Kluyveromyces lactis: one gene and its partners. The protein of the gene in region 2 interacts with the protein of the main gene of each other region in a pairwise test. Links are inferred from orthologs where the notes say so. Each region holds a gene or a part of one and is shown on either strand. Other genes may lie near its edges. The genes, in order: RPI1, SNF1, SSN8, KLLA0_B00583g and SIP3.

Evidence for each region.
Region 1: the proteins of SNF1 (region 2) and RPI1 interact in binary tests that used the Saccharomyces cerevisiae proteins (3 or more experiments, as listed by UniProt). The link is inferred for Kluyveromyces lactis from reciprocal best matches to the Saccharomyces cerevisiae genes SNF1 and REG1.
Region 3: the proteins of SNF1 (region 2) and SSN8 interact in a two-hybrid assay, tested with the Saccharomyces cerevisiae proteins (2 studies listed by BioGRID, with this or other methods). The link is inferred for Kluyveromyces lactis from reciprocal best matches to the Saccharomyces cerevisiae genes SNF1 and SSN8.
Region 4: the proteins of SNF1 (region 2) and KLLA0_B00583g interact in binary tests that used the Saccharomyces cerevisiae proteins (3 or more experiments, as listed by UniProt). The link is inferred for Kluyveromyces lactis from reciprocal best matches to the Saccharomyces cerevisiae genes SNF1 and GAL83.
Region 5: the proteins of SNF1 (region 2) and SIP3 interact in a two-hybrid assay, tested with the Saccharomyces cerevisiae proteins (2 studies listed by BioGRID). The link is inferred for Kluyveromyces lactis from reciprocal best matches to the Saccharomyces cerevisiae genes SNF1 and SIP3.

The regions. Positions count from the first base shown.
Region 1 is NC_006042.1:411,732-415,975, forward strand, and holds RPI1 (protein phosphatase regulator REG1), read left to right. Parts: upstream 1-1,428; coding exon 1,429-3,987; downstream 3,988-4,244. Other genes in the region: KLLA0_F04323g (uncharacterized protein), read left to right, coding at 1-8. UniProt on the Saccharomyces cerevisiae protein: Involved in RNA processing and negative regulation of glucose repression. Regulates the level of two antigens, P43 and P70. Binds to protein phosphatase type 1. Functions with REG2 and SNF1 protein kinase to regulate growth.
Region 2 is NC_006037.1:338,295-341,772, forward strand, and holds SNF1 (AMP-activated serine/threonine-protein kinase catalytic subunit SNF1), read right to left. Parts: upstream 2,322-3,478; coding exon 513-2,321; downstream 1-512. UniProt on the Saccharomyces cerevisiae protein: Serine/threonine protein kinase essential for release from glucose repression.
Region 3 is NC_006041.1:737,294-740,036, reverse strand, and holds SSN8 (cyclin-dependent protein serine/threonine kinase regulator SSN8), read left to right. Parts: upstream 1-1,311; coding exon 1,312-2,226; downstream 2,227-2,743. UniProt on the Saccharomyces cerevisiae protein: Component of the SRB8-11 complex. The SRB8-11 complex is a regulatory module of the Mediator complex which is itself involved in regulation of basal and activated RNA polymerase II-dependent transcription.
Region 4 is NC_006038.1:44,307-47,669, forward strand, and holds KLLA0_B00583g (protein kinase subunit beta), read right to left. Parts: upstream 1,974-3,363; coding exon 513-1,973; downstream 1-512. Other genes in the region: DEAH-box ATP-dependent RNA helicase PRP43, read left to right, coding at 1-281. UniProt on the Saccharomyces cerevisiae protein: Beta subunit of the SNF1 kinase complex, which is required for transcriptional, metabolic, and developmental adaptations in response to glucose limitation.
Region 5 is NC_006039.1:243,709-247,874, forward strand, and holds the start of SIP3 (Sip3p), read right to left. Parts: upstream 2,801-4,166; coding exon 1-2,800. Other genes in the region: TGL2 (triglyceride lipase), read right to left, coding at 3,063-4,166. UniProt on the Saccharomyces cerevisiae protein: May be involved in sterol transfer between intracellular membranes.

The DNA of each region.
Region 1 (4,244 bases), on a different chromosome or scaffold from region 2:
AGTTTTAGAATACAAAATACTCTCTCTATATGATACATAACAGTAAGATTTGGCAGATCCAGCATGTGCTTTGCACCGTGCCAGAGTACTAGAAAAAAAATATCAATCCGAAGTTTTCTGGCAGGTCTTCTGGCAAGCTTTTCGGCTTATATAACATGTATCCTACTGACATTCACGGTAACTGGTACTGTCAAATTTAATAAAAAGAGAGTAGATGCCCGCTCCGATCATGCAAGATGACTATATAATGTGTCTCGACATATGACAAGAATCGATGACACCACTATTGACTGAATCAGTGTATGGTATAGATCAAGGTAGAACTCATGTAAAATCCAGAACTGACCAAAGTGACAAAAATGAACAAAAAAAAAAAAAAATTTGTCCTGCTAAACAACGGATAATCCCTTGAAATTTAGTTGGCCCCTGGGCCAACTGAAATGTTCCAGTTCCCGTTTCATCTTCGACAAACTCAAAACGCTCCGCTACCGTGCGATTTTCTTTTCTCGCTATACATGTATAACTTGGGAAGTTAGAATTTCCAAAAATTGAAATGAATAATTAACTTGGAAACCAGCTCCATTAAAAAAAGCTAGGAGTTGTATTTCCTCAGTAAATTAATAAATTCAAACACAACAGAATATAGCGTCCGCCATACTAGGATCGGTTTATACTCTATTACCCTGTAACTTTACTTACATGTCTAAACACGGTCTGTTGTAAGACGTAAGCACCAAAGCGTCATAGACAAATTTTGCCTCCTTTTCGATCTTTTCTATTGAACAATACTGGCAAGCGGTACTCATTATTCTGTTTTCGTTTTTCTTTTTGGGAATTTAGTTTGGTTTCCTTTTCTTTTGGACTTTGGTTTGAGCTTTCAAATCCACTTTTTAAAAAGAACAAAGAACATATAGAACATATAGAACATATAGAATGTAAAGGTTTGGGGGAATAGGAAGAAGAGCAGGTTTAAGTGTGTATTCTGATTGCCTCGTTCGACGATTTTTGTTTTGTGCTAAGCATTTTCAGTGATAGTTACAATCTGCTTTAACAGAGAGAGAGTCCTTTATTTTTCCTGAAGCGATTTGTGGTATAAAGGAGAGTTAAACGATAGTGTGATTTTTCTATTTGGTCTACTTTCATTAGGCAAAATCAGATTTCTCACTATACTACTGTTGGACTGAAGGATAGCGTCTGATAACGCTTGATACCCTAGGCTTCTTTCGTTGTCTGGTTCTCAGTTTTATTTTATTTTATTATTCCATTAATTTTTTTGGATCGCAGGAATCACCTTCTACCATCCAAGCAGAGCTTACTTGATATAATTCAACCTAGCTTTTTTACTGCGTGATACACACGCGGTTGAACAAGACAGCAGAGTATAATATTCAGAAGGTTTTACCAGATAAACACAGCACGCTTTGCATTATGCAGAATAATTTAGCGGCGTATTTTGCTCAGGGGAATGCTTCTCAGGGGAATGCTACCCCGGGTAGAGTCGCATTGAACAGAAGCTCATCGAATGATGAATACGGAACAAGCAGTGTAAATAAACAAGTCCCAAATTACGACGATATGGGTCCTTCTGTGTCTATGGCGGTTCATGCTGATGACGACGACCATTTCAAGAATTCTACGTTCAATTTGAAAAGAACACGATCCATGGGACTGTTGGATCCATACATCGACGATACTCAGAAACTTCTGGCAGGTTCGAGCTCTGTTGATTCCGATAACTTCTCTAACAGTAACATCGATGGCTTGAGTAACGACCTCAATAGTGGTGACAGTAGCGGGAGCATGAATAATATTAACAACAACAACAACAACAACAACAACAACAACAACAACAACAACAACGACAACGAAAACAAAACTGATAATATCAATAAAAACAGTAATAATACTTCTTATAATGACGATAACGACGGTAATGATACTACGCTTAATGACACCGGGCTGAATAAACACAATACAACTGTTGGCGGAACCGACGAAGACTACACAGACGAAAACATGCAAGTCGATAACTACGACGATGACTACGAAGCAGATTACGATTACGACTACGACTACAAAGATGTAGAAGATTCTAATTCTCCTCCAGACCCGGGTACTGACGATTTCCTAATTCATCATGATGACAACGACTTGATGTATGAACCCAATAGACATGTGGATTACTTATCTCATAAATGGAACGAAAACGAAATATCTCAGTCATGGCGTTATATCATTTTGAAAAAGAAACGGAAGGACACAGATTTAATCAATGCTGCAAGGTTGGAAAATGCTTCCTGGAGAACTTGGTCAAAGGCTAGAAATAATCTGAAAACTGTGAATCCAGAATCTTTGAACTGGTCAAAGGATTCTGATGTAACTTGGTTATACGGTCCGATTGTAGTGGGCGATCAAAATAACTCGACGTCGTCATCAAAGCCCACTTCCAACGTTGAAATAGGAAACAATCATGCGGCCACCATGGGGTATGGTTCCGATGATGAAAATTCAAAAAGGTTGATCCAAAAGTCTCAGAGTCCCGGTCCTAAACCTATTCTAAAGAAGAGAACTGTTAGTGAAATTATCGAGGAAAACTCCAAATGGAGATTAGATATAGCAAGGCAGCACAGAAAGCAAACTAGTGACTTGCATGCTATTTTGGATCCGCAGTCAAGTCAGACAACGCATGACGATTATGATGCTATTGCCGCGAAGGTGAATGCACAATATTACAAAAATATCCATACACCGCCTGATGAATCGGTGGAATCTATTTCGCCCGTTGTGACCGAAACAAACTCGTCGATAGTAAATACCACTCCAGGTCCAATCTCTGGCTCTGTGATAGAAACCCCATCCGCAAGATCTGATCCTCCCATATTATCATCGATTCTTACATCATCGATGAAGCAAAAGCAAAAAAGGGAAAGACATATTCATTTCAATGACCGTGTCGAACAATGTATTGCGGTTAATCATAACCCCATAGACGCTAATCCTAATGATGACGAAGTCCCAATGACAAATACCGATTACCACTCTGACGATATGTCGGACGGTGCCAGATCTTCGCATCAGTATTCTGACTTTGACGATGGATATAGAAATTCAGGGGCCAACAGCGTCGAAGATTACGCCGATGACGAAGATGATGAAGACGCTGACAGCTACGATTATGATGAAGATGACGACGAAGATGACGAAGATGATGGGTTATTTATCAGTGCACATACTAGAAAAAATCGAACCAATTCGGGGGCTAGTGATGGCACAGATGTTGCAAATTCTTTAAGATCACTCTCACTATCCAAATTTCCAAACGCAACTATTAAACCACTTCCAGCCACTACTCTAAACTACGGATCTGACGATGAATATTATGATGAAGACGAAAATGAATGGTATTATGGTAACGCAGTATCACACAATGTGAATACTAGCAGAGGATTTGACTACATGTATGATTATAATTCCGTTTACACGGGGGATACATCCAACTTTGTAACTGTGGACAATTCGTGTGATATCCTCGATGTACCGGATGGCATTGGATTAGATACTCCAATACAGGACGCGAATGACGGATATATGGATGATGACTCAAGAGGGAAAATATATACATACCATCAAAGCCTTCCGGTACAAGATGATAACGATGAACATCCGGACAACGAATTCATCGCAGATTCTTCCCAACCTGGTTTCAGTCATGATGACGAAGAGCATGACGATAACGGTGAAGAACTAGAGCTTACTGCAAAAGACCCACTATCATTAAGGCGAACCTCATCTATAGGGAAGTCTAGAGCAAATTCCATTCATGATTTTATCACACCTTCCAATTCTGCATCTCCTGTTTTAAAACAGACACATAGCTTCATCACTGGAGAACCTTTATCTCAACACAATTCGACGGTAAGAAGACCACCATTAAAATCTCCTTCATCGGGTAGCTTTTTATTTGGATCTGATTCTGATTCTGAGTGATCGCTCAAGTGCTCTTAGGTATATTCGGAGTTCATTTTTTTTATTGAGGTTAAACTTAAAAATACCACTCTACCAGCATATATATTTTTTTTTCACTACGTAAATAGTATTAATTAGAAGAACAACAATTTTTCTTGGTTTTATCCATCTGCGTAGATCTCTCGCTCAGCGCTTAATGCTTCTATTGATTAACTTGCTACGGTGTTTTATTTATGTTGAGAGAGTGCGCTTAATTATATACTCAAACTACCATGTTC
Region 2 (3,478 bases):
TAACTGATAGTCTCATGAGCCACTCGTCATGCGCAGCTTCTGCCTATTCCAATTTCACTAAATATTGTCACGTGACCCTCTTTGATCCATCTAGGCCTTCCCTTCTGGATACCACAGGATCCATATGCCCAGTCACTGACGTCTTGGAACTCTGCCGTGTGCTGGCTAGCTCACATGACCCTTCGTCTGGCCTGTCTTCAGTCTATCTTACGAAAACTACAACAAAGTAGCATCGGTGGTTTAGTGGTAAAATCCAACGTTGCCATCGTTGGGCCCCGGGTTCGATTCCCGGCCGATGCATTCTTTTTTCATGTGTCAAAAACATGTATGTTGTTTTCCTCTTCTTCCCGGCGAGTGTTGTGAGCTAAGAGTAATTTCTCATATAATATAGTGATTGTCATTATTTAATGATATGTATATAAGGCTTAAACTTTAAGCAAATATTCAAACTTATATACACTCTTCGTTGGATATTATCCGTTAGTATTTTTTTAATTTCATGAACCTTAAAATCAACTTCCTTGGCTATTCACTGCAAGTTCCATAATCAGCCTGGTTGCTAAATGTAGAAAGGGGTATGCACTGAACGTACTCATTTCATCGTCGTTCCGACTTGAATACACTACACCGTTACTGGACTCCCAGCCATCAAATTTGAAATCCACTAAGTAGTTATTTGTCTCAATTTGGAACAATTGGATTACCATCTTCATTAAATCTGGAATCTGCTTGTTCTTCATTTCGTCATCAGGCATATCGATATTATATCTCCAACGGACTCTAATAGTCCATAGGTCCTCTTCTGATGGTTTCGCCCATTCGGCTCCCAAGTTTTTCAATGCAATGTATATTTCTCCCATAACGTCTAATGGATAGGATCTTGATCGTATACCGAAATGCCACCTTGTTTTTGATTTTTTCACGCTTAATGGTGAAATCTTAGCAGCAGCCTGGGACCCTTGTGCTACCATGTTGGCTCTATGGATCTGTGGTAACGAGCTAGGTAAAATTGCAATCGTGCTGTCTCCATCCTGAGAACCATTTCCATAATGATATTGATATGTACGTTGCTGTGTTCTCTTTGAATGGCGGTGTGAGTGTCGATTTTTTGAGCCCGGGGGGGCATGCAAGGATTGTTCGAAAGTGGGTGGAGATTGCGATAAGAAAGTATCCAAGTCATTAGATTGTTGCTTGTTCACCTTGATGTCGTTGATTAAATTTCTGTTCTCTTTAATTAACTGATAGGCATCCCTGATTTCATTTAAAGATGGATGATCTTCATCGGACTCTAAAGCCTCATATATCTCATCTACGTCATAACCCATAGTGTTTGATAGCGTTTGAACTAACGAATCATCGATCAGTTCGAGTGGCACGGATGGGCCGCCATCTTCTGTTTTGCTTTCAGAGTTTTCTTGATGGGTGCTTTCAGCAGGAACTAGGTAGTCGGGTAAATCAACTTTGAACCATTCATCCTGCATGATTTCATGCACGGTAATTCTATTAACTGGATTGACGATGAGCATCTTTTTGATTAAGCTCGCAGCACCTTGGGAAAGGAAGTTAGGTATGGTGTAAACACCATTGCTAATGTTCTTAAACAACACTGGGATACTTTCGTCATCGAATGGTAACCTACGACACAACATGACGTATAAGATAACCCCTGAAGACCAAACGTCAACCTCTGGACCTGCATATAGTTTACCGCTGATGACTTCTGGGGCCGCATAATTTGGAGAACCACATGAAGTCTTCAAAAAGTTACCATCTGTCATTATATTAGATAAACCAAAATCAGCAATCTTAACGTTCAAATGTTCGTCTAATAGTAAATTCTCTGGTTTCAAATCTCTATGCACAATTTTATGACGGTGACAATAATCTACTGCGCTAATAATCTGTTGGAAAAATCTTCTTGCTTCTTGTTCAGGCATCTTGTCTCTTTGGACAATATAATCAAATAATTCATTACCAGCATACTCAATCACCATGATAATTTCGTCCTTCGATTTGATCACGTCATACAATTTGATAATGTGTGGATGTCTCAACAAACGTAAGTACGAAATCTCTCTCTCGATTCTACCTTGCATATCACTCTTGGCTAGAACCTTCTTATTGATGATTTTTAATGCCACTTTTTGTCCCGTAGAGATATGGTACGCCAGTTTCACTTTACCAAATGATCCTTCACCCAAGGTCTTGATGATTTGATACTTACCGATATGTTGGCCTTGTGCGTGGTTAGTCAGCTGGCGTTGGTGATGGCCTTGACCTGAGCCACCATGCGGCTGTTGTTGATTTGGGTCGTGCGACATATCTTCTCTGATGAGTATGTACTCGTAAATGCTTCACTAAGAGTTTGCGTTCAACAGAGGGATATCTTGTTTACTCTGAGAATAGTTGCTTCTAATTGAGAAGTTGACTAACTTGTTAGAAAACTTGCAATTCTTATACTAGTGTGACGTTTCTGGAGTCTCACAAAACCCAATTCTATCCGCCCTACAATTACGCATTGATCCTTCTTTTATTGTTGATGTTCCGTATATGACAAGTTTTCAATTTTATCATCAAAATGTAAACGGCGTAGAAATCGTTGATGATGACTGATACCTTATGTAGGAGACCGTACTGGGACGAGTCCGGCGAATTGACCATTTTCAGTCACCAATCCTGTCACGTTTTACGAGAGGATTCAGACAATTCACGAATCCATTCTTCACTACGTCAATATGCTATGACACTACATTAAAGTACATCACCACTCGATAAGTGGCTATTATATACGAACCAAGATGTATATATTACATCTTTAATCTTCCCCAATTACTCTTTTATAATTAGGAATAACGTTAATATCGTATTTTCCTCATTATAAACTGGTGATTCCAAAATTCTGCTATCTATGTATTAGTTTCAATCACTACTGTCACTGGAGTAAATATCGATGACTGCGGCAGGATCGTAGAATGATTGTTGGCTAAAATTTGAATGCTCCATATCGTCCTCGTCATCCGTCCAAGAGTCCGTTGCAATATGTTCAGTCACAGGCATCTTTGAGCCCAAATTGAAACACATCAAGCGATTCCTTACTATCATTGTGCTTTTTAAATTGGAACTAGCAAGAGAAAATCTATCATCTAAAACACGCTTACTGATTGAGAAGCTCCTTTCGACGTCAGCAGTTGAGAGCTTAGTGTGGTAAAAGGCAAGAGCCAGACTGCACAATGCAGGAAATCTTGATTGGTTTTCAAGCCAATAGCTCAAAAAATCCTTCTCTTTCTCCAATGGTTCCCCCAAGTATATCTGCCACTCATCCTTAGGCGCAAAATGGAATTCTGAAATGTTTCTATCCAGATATGCAGATAGGTTTTTTAATAATTTTGGCTTCTTAACACGATTGATATTCAATGGTTCAGTTGGTTTATTGTGCGAGCGAATATCGGAAGTTTCAGTAAATCGTTTGCAGTAACTG
Region 3 (2,743 bases), on a different chromosome or scaffold from region 2:
AGGTAGTAGTTCCGTAAATGGAAAGCAAAGAAATACAAGAGATACTTACTCGATGGGAAAACCACACTAACAAGTAGATGATTCTAGTACTACACATGTTTACAACTCATAGCAAATGGTTAGCCGGACTCATACTAGATGGTGCGGTGCTAACAGCGTTCAAGAAAAAATCAAAACAGAGAAGATACATACAGTACTACTCTAGACCGCAGTCAATAACTCTTCTTTATCATCAAGGAAATTTGATCAGTACGTTTGTAAAAAGCAAGTCTCGTCCATGCTATATAAGCTCAGAGCTTGACTCTATGTTGCATTGTTATTTCATCACGTTAAAAATCCTAAAATGAAGAGGGAAAGATGACGGCTGGATCTTTTGAAATTCTTCCTTGTAGCACTTGATATGAGAGGATACTCAACTGAGTATAATCCAAGGCAATAAATGATACAATAATAAATAATCAGGGCAGCTTGGCATATTTGACTATGCGTAAGTATCGAAAAGTTCAAAATAAATTTGAAACGAATCCACTTCAAGCTGTTTGATGATTGAAAAAAGGATGGAGAGTTTCGTGAGCCGAGAAAGTAAGCTCCATTGGGTTACCCAAGCTACCTCCTCCCTAATCACCCCTGTAAACAGAAGTAACAAAAAAAGAGATAAAAACGCTCGGGCAATCGTCATAACTTTCGTTTAAAGTAAAGAAATACTTCAGTACCCAAGACACAGAGGCTTCTAAAACAGCCTCTGGATAGAAACCGTGACAGAAAACCAACACGATTAATGAGTTGATTTAAACATTTGAAAAGTTTTTAAATCTCATTACGTTTCCGCTTACGGACTGGTCGGAGACTTTCTACCCAAAGCTATAGAAATGATATCATTTCAATTGAACAGATAAAATCCGTTCCTTATGTAAGCTTCGATCAGTGACGATTCTTCGACTACAAAACCCTCGACTTACGAAACAAACAACAACAAAAGACAACACTAGAAAACATTTAATTAAAAGTAAGTGTTTGAAGTGCTGATGTTTGGTTCATATAGTTGAATGTTTAACTTTTTTCCAAAAAATTTTCAAAAAGGTTACCCGACTTCTTAACGACCTGAAATTTAGGGCTGCAACGGTCAGCTTATCATAATGTACTTGATGATGAATTGAAGAATAGCGAACGGTAAGGTAGTAAGAACCGAATCGGGTTAGGTACTTTGAACAAAGGATTCCGACAACAAAAGGCAGTACAAATTTCACTGGAGGATAAAAAATACCTTTCCCCCCCTTATTCATTGAACAGCTAGAAGATTATCTTTCCAAAATGAGCGCCTCATACTGGGATTCGAGTCAGAGGCACAAGTGGAAGTATACTAGGGAATCCTTGGCTAAGGAGAAGCAGAAACTCTGGCTGTTGGAATGCCAATTATTCCCACAAGGTTTGAATGTTACGATTCACGATTCGAAGGCGAACAAGCAGGTGACGACAAACATTCCGGTTACACAGCGAGATCTGCATTATGATCGAGACTACAATTTGAGGATATACTGCTATTTCCTTATAATGAAGTTGGGCAGGAGGCTCAATATACGGCAGTGTGCACTTGTTACAGCACATGTTTATTTGAGCCGATTTTTGCTTCGAGCTAGTGTCAGGGAAGTGAACCTGTATCTTTTAATCACCACCTGCATCTATTTGGCTTGCAAAGTGGAAGAATGTCCGCAGCATATAAGAACGCTAGTCAACGAGGCGAGGTCTCTATGGCCAGAGTTTATTCCACCGGATGTGACAAAAGTGACCGAGTTTGAGTTTTATTTAATCGAGGAATTGCAATCATATTTGATTGTACACCATCCGTACCGGTCTCTAGAACAGATCGAGAAGGCATTATCATCCGAAAAGTACAACTATAAACTCTCAGACGATGAGCTTCAGAAAATATGGTCGTTGATTAACGATAGTTATACGACCGATGTCCATTTACTCTATTCACCGCACGTGATCGCCATAAGTTGTCTATTTGCAGTGTCTTGCATCATTCACAAGCCAGAGGACAGTACAAAGCGTGCTAACATCAACATGTTCATCGCTGAAACTCAAGTTAATTTGGAACAAGTGATGTTTATCCTTCAAGAACTCATATCACTATACGACCATTGGGACAAATACAATGAACTGCGGATCAGAGCGCTCCTACACGAGTTATACCTCCGTCAACAAACACCAGCAATTCAGTGATTCTGAAGCCGAAAAGATTTCGTTCAGTTCACACCTGTACATACATAACAAATTACGTAGCATTCAAGATCAACCACGCATCAAGGATATATCGCATAAGAACGAAATGAAATTATATTGGACAACTCACGGAAGAATCACAGAAATGCAGACACTGAGAAATATACACATTGTACGCACAAAAAAAATTTAGTTCGCAATCACAGTCAACTAGAGGACAAGTAGAAGCCTCACTCCAAGAGCTGCATTTGCAACTTCTATTTCTCTTTAACACCAAAAATATCTTTGGCGAAGCGATATCTGCCAAATAATCTAGAGCTATTCATGCGCAGAAAAGAAAAAAAAAAGTGAACGAACGGCAATATGATTTCGAGAGTTAAACATGAAACTCGAAATCAAATCTTAACTAACAATGTTAACGTGTATTTATAAAGAGTAGAAGTAGGAAAAGTGGAAGCACAAGTTCAAAAGAAAGCGAGTCCAAAAGTTTAGTGAAGCAGAAGCAGAGTGTCTGTCA
Region 4 (3,363 bases), on a different chromosome or scaffold from region 2:
ACCAAGATGTTTTGATACATCCTTCAACTGTTTTGGGCCATGATGCCGAATGGGTTGTATACAATGAATTCGTTCTAACCTCCAAAAACTACATTAGAACTGTAACATCAGTTAGACCTGAATGGTTAATAGAATTAGCACCAGCTTATTATGACCTCGATCACTTCCAAAAAGGTGACATTAAACTATCGTTAGAAAGGGTAAAGCAAAAGCTCGATAAAATGGTGGAGCTACAACAAGAAAAAAAAAAAAGTGCGAAATCTAAAAAGTCTAAGAAATAACCAAGCATATAGATGTGTAACTTATATAATAAGATTAACCTTAGAATCAGCATGATAAGTCTTATTGTAGAAGTATTGTGCGGTATTATTAGCACGCGACTCAAAGTCTACGTTTTTTTTGCTGCATTTTATTGAAATTCGGTATGGTGTACGTTTTATATTCAACCCATAAGAACTTCGCTTATGATATTTCAGTGTAAAAAATATAAAATCAAATCTCTAGGAGTGGTTTCATTGCAATGGCGCATATAGTATCTGTGTTGCATATTTTCTTTTGTATCTAACGATGCTAGCAACACATAAAGTATTATGTTTAATAGAAGACGTTGCTAAATGATTAAGAACGACGTGGTTAGGAATTGGCAACGCACCTGAATTATTTTCACTACCTGGTTCAGCATTTTTGTTGTAATTATTGAGAATAACATTCTCCAACTGAGGTGGAAGTTGTGGAGGAGTTAACCATGACATATTTTGTTGATTGTTCTGTTGCTGGTCTAATGTGAGATAATACTGTTCCATCACCGAAGGATCTGTAAAGACAGCAGGGATATCCTGAGTATACTCATAATCGGTCTTTAGCTGTTGTTCCTCTTTGAAACGGGTGTATCCGTTTCCCATATCATCAGGGTCTTCTTCAATATGCAAAGCAAGCTGGGATCTGGCACTTAATTTGCCATCTTTACTTTGAGATGGTTGCCTTCTAACCTGTGACTGGATGGTTTGATCGCGAATTTTCTGAGATTGAGAAACATTATCTGAGAGTTGTTGATTTTGCATATTTTGCTTTTGCTGTGTCTGTTGTTGGGCATCCAGTTCATAATTCATCATTTGCATCGACTCAGGTGGAACAATTTCAAGATAATTAACAAAATTACCCATCTGATCAGTTGCAGTGGGAAGAAAGTCGCTGAACCGGAGTTCATTATCAACGATGAATCTAAATCTGTGAGTACCGGGAGGTAATTGTAACTTGATATGGAAAACTCCAGGTTTGTCAGTAACAGGTACAAGGCCAATCATCTTACGCCAGCCAGTGAAGGAACCTGTTACATAGACCTTGGAACCGCCTTGTTGCCACGTTATCTCAACAGGAACCATGGTAGGTCTACGTTCAGGTACCGGTTGCGTCTGCTGATTAATAGCAGGGCCTGGATGTTGTACGTTCCCATCGTAATGATTTCCTGAAACTTTGTTGGCATGTTGTTCTTGAGAGTTGTTAGTGTATGCTGAATTTTGATGTCTTCCATCTTCGCTGTGTGAACTGGCAGCTGGCGAATCTGCTGAAAGCGAGGATGCAGATCCATCAGAGGGTCCTGTTATGATATTATTCACAACATCCTCATCCTCATCTTCATTGTCAGTGATGATTCTTCCGTCGTCGTAATTATTCTGGTGTTCAATGTGCTTATGCTGATTCGAAATATCATCGAAGTCGTCATTAAATATCAACGTGGATTTTCTGGATGAAAGCTGTGGTGTTAACTCATTTCTGTCATCAATGTTCATTTGTGATAGAGATTGGGTAAGGTTCGAGGATGCTCCTGGGGTTTCGACCTTATTTGAAGTGTCATCCTGTCTTTCATTCATAGCTTCATTGATGTCAACCATAGAGACATCTTTAACGTTCTGAGACATAGTTGATGGATGTTTGTGATGTGGTCTGTTGGAATGACTGGGTAAATTCCCCATTAAGTTCTTCAGGTAGTCTCTTGGTACTTTTGAACGTTTTCCTCTATGCTACCTCCGCCAAATAGTTACCAAATGTGCCGTCGGTGCTACTTTATGCATTATTTGAACTTTCAGAAACAATGTTGTTATCTGGGGATTTCGATATATATATATATATTATGTGTTTTCTTGATTGATCAATTTGCAGAAATTCGAAAAAGGACAAAATAAACAGATGGAAACTTCGTTCACGTGACATGAAACAGAGGGTAAAGGACCTTATCGGTACGAAATCTATAGTGCCGAGAAAGGCACAGTTCTTCTCCATAGTTGGAAAGTCTATCAATTCTATCTCATGATGAGAATTTGCATAAGTATATAAGGTTTATAAAAGTTCTCATCCTTCAACTAAGAGGGTATTTTGGAATAACTAACAATATTGTCTATCAACGTCATTGTTGAATTTATCTAGTGTTTTCAATTCTTAGGGTTGAGTAGTGATGATATAGATAAGTAGCTGCAGTTCTTTCTCTCCTCGAGGTTTGTATCGTGGGGTTGTAAGTCCTGTAATGAGTTGCTTTTTCGTATTGGGGTCATTCCTTGAAGTGCACTCAAGGCTGTTAACAGATTCTTGCTTGACATGGTGTGTAGGTAGTGGTCTTCATGAGCACCTGATGACGAAGCTACCAGGTTTGGTGAGTTTGTTAGGCTACTTAGCCTCGACGAGCTCATGTCGCTGTGTTCCGTGAAAATAGTGTTCACCAAGCTGCTACTGGAATTCTGAGATATTGGAGCAAACTGGGCTGGTTTTTCCACGTCTAAGTACATTGAAGTTTGTAAATGATATGGCACAGGGATCATAGCAGGTAGAGTTGGCTGTGGGGCTATAAGTTTATCGGTATTATTAACTGGAATACCCTGTTCATTCATTTGAGCTAGATTTACCTGACTGGATGATCTGGATTTAGGTCTAATGGTTCTTGGCTTTCTTTTTCTTGATTTGAAATGTGTTTTGATGTGTCTCTTTAATTCGTCATTTCGGCTAAATCGCTTGGGACAACCAGGAACCGTGCATGCGAAAGGCTTTTCTCCTGTGTGTGTTCGTATATGCCTTGTCTTGTGTTCCAACCTATGGAATCTGTTCCCACAAATTTCACATAAATATGGTCTGTCGTTGCACTCTTTTGGTGTTGACATGTTAATTTGTTTGTTATGTTTTGTGATTTATTGTTATTTTGGACTTTATTGGTGGATATTGTATCGTATAACTGGCTAGTAGTTCACTCTGTGATGGATCTTCTCTTTCCTGATAAGGCTTTTGAAAGGATTATGTTTCACATTTAAGTTAATAGGAACTAAACGATTCAGGAAAGAGACGAAAGAAAGATAGTGGGGGGAAGACATGACAAAT
Region 5 (4,166 bases), on a different chromosome or scaffold from region 2:
GAACATGTTTCAAAATTCGCGATTCATTCCCCAAAATCGATAAAACAGTTGCCTTGATGAATTTATCGATATAGTTTAATGATGATACAGGTTTTAATGAGTTTGAATTCACAAAAATAACGTTGTAATAAGTGTATAATGAACAAGATGAACCCGGGGTTTTCCTAATTTTGGTGTTATAGTCATTTTTAGGGTTATCGATTATCACATACTTCGTCTCAATGCAAAATAATTTAGTTAAAGGAAGAGAAAAGAAGCCTGTCTTTTGATCAATCTCATAATAAAAATTCTCAGACGTTTTTGTTAGAGTCTGTAAAATATCCATGTAACTGAAATCGGTGTTCGTCGACCGATGAACTTTATTATCAGAAATAAGTGCTCTGGCTAGTCTTAGACGAAATCTCATCTTCCGTACGAGCTCTTTAGTCTCTGGATTGATGAACCACGCACCTACAGCATCATGTTTGGTCTTCGATCTAGATAAAAACGTACATTCGTGGAAAACTGTTGATTTGTCACCAAACATTAAGTGAGCTAAGGCTCTGCTTGGAACGTGGAAATCCATTCTGAATATTGAATCATGCTCTAACTGGAATTTTTGCTGTCGCTGTCTCATGTTCATCTTGTCTATGTTCAAGCTTCGTACTAATGACATTTCAGGAATTAATGTCTTAGGATTGCTACTCTCTTTTCTAGCGAAAGTTGATTCGATATTGTCAAGCTTAATTATAAGTTGATCAATTCTCAGGTCGCTCTTCTGCAATGTAGTCTCCAATGCTCCCAATATTTTTTCGCTTAAGCAATATGGATCACAGTAGAAGGCCTCGACTACTATTTTCGATTTATTCTTCAAGTCAATTTCCAATTTTCCACTGTCCATCTCAAGTTCATTGGACACTACAGAGACTCCCACAATACTTTTGAAGGAATATTCATTTAAATACACGAATCCCATGAAATTAGTGTAGAAGTATAACATATTCGAAGTGGCAAACATCGTCGAGGGATACCGGCTCACTGAAGAAAAGGAGCATATGCAGGGTTCTTTAAATAGGAGAAGCTCACTGTCGCAAATTTCGATGTTGAGAAAGCCTGTAAAAAGAGTTCTGAAAAGTAAATCATCCGATTTAAGTTTCTCAGGATAGTATGCTGGGTAAGATATTGGGTTCCATGCATTATTATCGATCGGAAATTTGTCGTCTCTTGGATCAGTTAACCTGAAGGAATGACTTGTGGCAGTACAACCCCATATATTTGCTGGTATAGCACCCGAAAGACCTTGATCTTCGGTGAAAGCATTGGAAATAACGGCTAGTTTTGTAGCTTGAGTCATTACGGGGAATCGGAACGTGGGATTTTTGAAAACCCCAAAATCATTGGCAATATTAGGGTTAGCCTGAATAATATTGAGCAGTGAATGTGTCTGGTGTTCAGTAACTGATGTAGTCTGGAAATCAATCTCTGTAATAGATGAACAAGCAAACTCGATGAACAAGGGAGAAACACGGGAAAGGAGCATCGAATACTCAGGAGATTTGTTATCGAGCTTGTATGCCTCTTTTTTTGCGTAACTAAACAGCGTCAGCCATGAACTGAGTTCCTCAAGTGTTTCTGCCTGAAGAGTGAGGATTATGTCTTGCGATTCTGCAGTCTCATCCTTATTTATGATCCTCAAGTCAAAACAATATCTCCGGTCTTCGTGTGGATTGTAGTTGCAGGAAATTAATAAAACTCCGAATTTATCGCTTTCTTCAACAAATGTTTTTGAAGGTGATAGCATTAGCATACCAAACATTCCCCTTTCTAAAAAACACCATCGCTTTAGCCAGGTGAATCTTCCGCTTGCTTTTATTTTGGTTTTCACGTATAACCAACCAGACTTCTTATTTTCTGAAGGTTTCGTGTTCTTGATAAGTGCTGCGCTGTTGATATTTGTGATATCATATGTTCTTAAATCTTTTGATGGTTCAAAAGATGTTTCGCAATACTCGCATATCTGACTTTTTAGCTTTTGAAGATGTTCTGTGGAATTATCCAAGCAAATTGAAAGAGCTTGAGTCCATTTCCTGTAACGACTGAATTCTAATTCAAGCTCGTCTGATATATTGATACTGTACTTTGCATTTTTATTTTGAGCAGTTGAAGGAATTGTTGATGCTATCATCTTTGAGATCAATTCATCAAGTTTTATCTGGATAGTTCCTATACTCCATAATAAGTCAAAAGAAGCGTCCCGATATAGTTTTCTAATATCAAAGAGTTCTATCGCCTTCTCTCGGATGGATTCCGTATTCATCAAAGCTGATATCTTTAGTTCATGGTAGTTTTTATTTAACATGTCATATCTTCCTTGGTAATAATCAAAATTCTCCCTTACTTCCTTATAAGGCTTGACTACTTTCACCAAGATATCAAGATATGTTGAAAGGTATGTTTCAGGATTACCGTACATCAATGACGATATGCTAGATGCAAATGTTTTCAAGGCTAATTGAAACTCATTTACCATTGCTGGTGTATATGCTTGATTCTCAACTAAACCGTTATTCAAATACGGAAGAGGTGGGAGCAGTCTATCAATCATAGAGTCTTCATCTTTATTGAGTTCTGCGAGCCCTGATAAAGCCTGGTTCTTAGATAAATTCGTATTCTCTTGAATCCAGTTTTCCAAGGCAAGTACTTGCATATGGAAATGGTTGGCACTAGTTCTAAAGGATGGAGTATCTATTGAGGCTTCTTTGTAAGCCAAAGCTGTAAGCCTTGTCAGTTTGTCATTTCTTCTAGTTTCATATGCAGTCATAACTTTCGCAATAGGTTAGGGATGCCGCCTCGTTGTCCTGGTTTGTTTTGCTCTTAATCGTCAATCCATCAAATCTTACGCTTATATACTTTAAATATCTCTTTAAATATAATCTTTTTACAGAAACAAGTGACTTTGCTAACATAAAAGATCCAAAAAAAAACATACATACGAAACTCTGTTCACATTAATTCATTAGGTTTATTTAAGCAGTATGCTTGATTCGGTTCAGGTTGATGCTAATTAGACATTTTGTATGTAGCTAAAATCCTAAGTTGGCAAGGTTCTCTGTGACTTTAAGGTAAAAATGCAAAATGTCAATATCAGGGTTTTGAGGTTTCTTCAAAGTACCTTGCAGACGATATTGAAACTCTTTCTGTAATCGATTTTTCCAGTTTATTAAATCAGAGTGATCGACGTTCTCAAGCGTCCCCAAATAACGGCCCCATCTTGCACTTTGTATGCTTACCATTCCATCGTTAGGTACTCCGCCAGATAAATTTGATATCACGCACCATGACATATAAAACATGTTATACCATCGCGGTTTGAAACAGGCGCCATAACTGAAGTAAGCTACGCTAGGGTCATCCGGCGTTATTTTATTGAAATGTGAGCAATAGGTTGTCGTCAATTGGTAAAAAGCTGGAGGTAACAGCTTCTTTTTAGTATTGACATCAAAAGTTTGTGTCATATCACTGAATAGTCCTACCACATAATCAGCCATTTCAGAGCCATGGTGTGGCGTAGAAATCGTAGTTAGGCTGCAAACTTCGAAATTTTTATTCGGTATATGGGAGATGAGGTATCTACAATCCAATCCACCCATAGAATGTGCTATAAGGTTGACCTTAATCTTGTCTTCCTTTTTGAAAGATTTCGAGTTAACCTCATTAGTGTTGTATACGTCTCCTTTGGCTAAAGTCCTTTTGACTTTGCCCAATTCTGTATCAATGAAGGAATTTAATACCTTTGCTCTTTCTTCAATGCTACCGAAGCTTGGTACTTTGGCGGTAATTACAGTACAACCTCTTGCCTCCAAAGCTTCCCGAACCCCTATCCAGTAATCAACGTGTACTAAGGCGTCAGACTGAATGTCTTTGTCATCGTCTTCTTGCATAAATGAGTCTGAATGGTTGGATAGTATGCTAGCTTTGATCATTTTCGTTAACTGGAAAATCGAAGGTATCAATATCAGTTTATCGAAGCCAGAGAGTCCATGACATAATACAATCGGATATTTCGGGGCTTTGTATTGTTCTATTGGTGGTATACTCTTGATGACTCTATCTTTTACCAATCCTTCATCTTTCGCCTTCGAAAGAGGTATAAGTTCTTTCAGGAAGCTGAATCTATGGATGTAAAA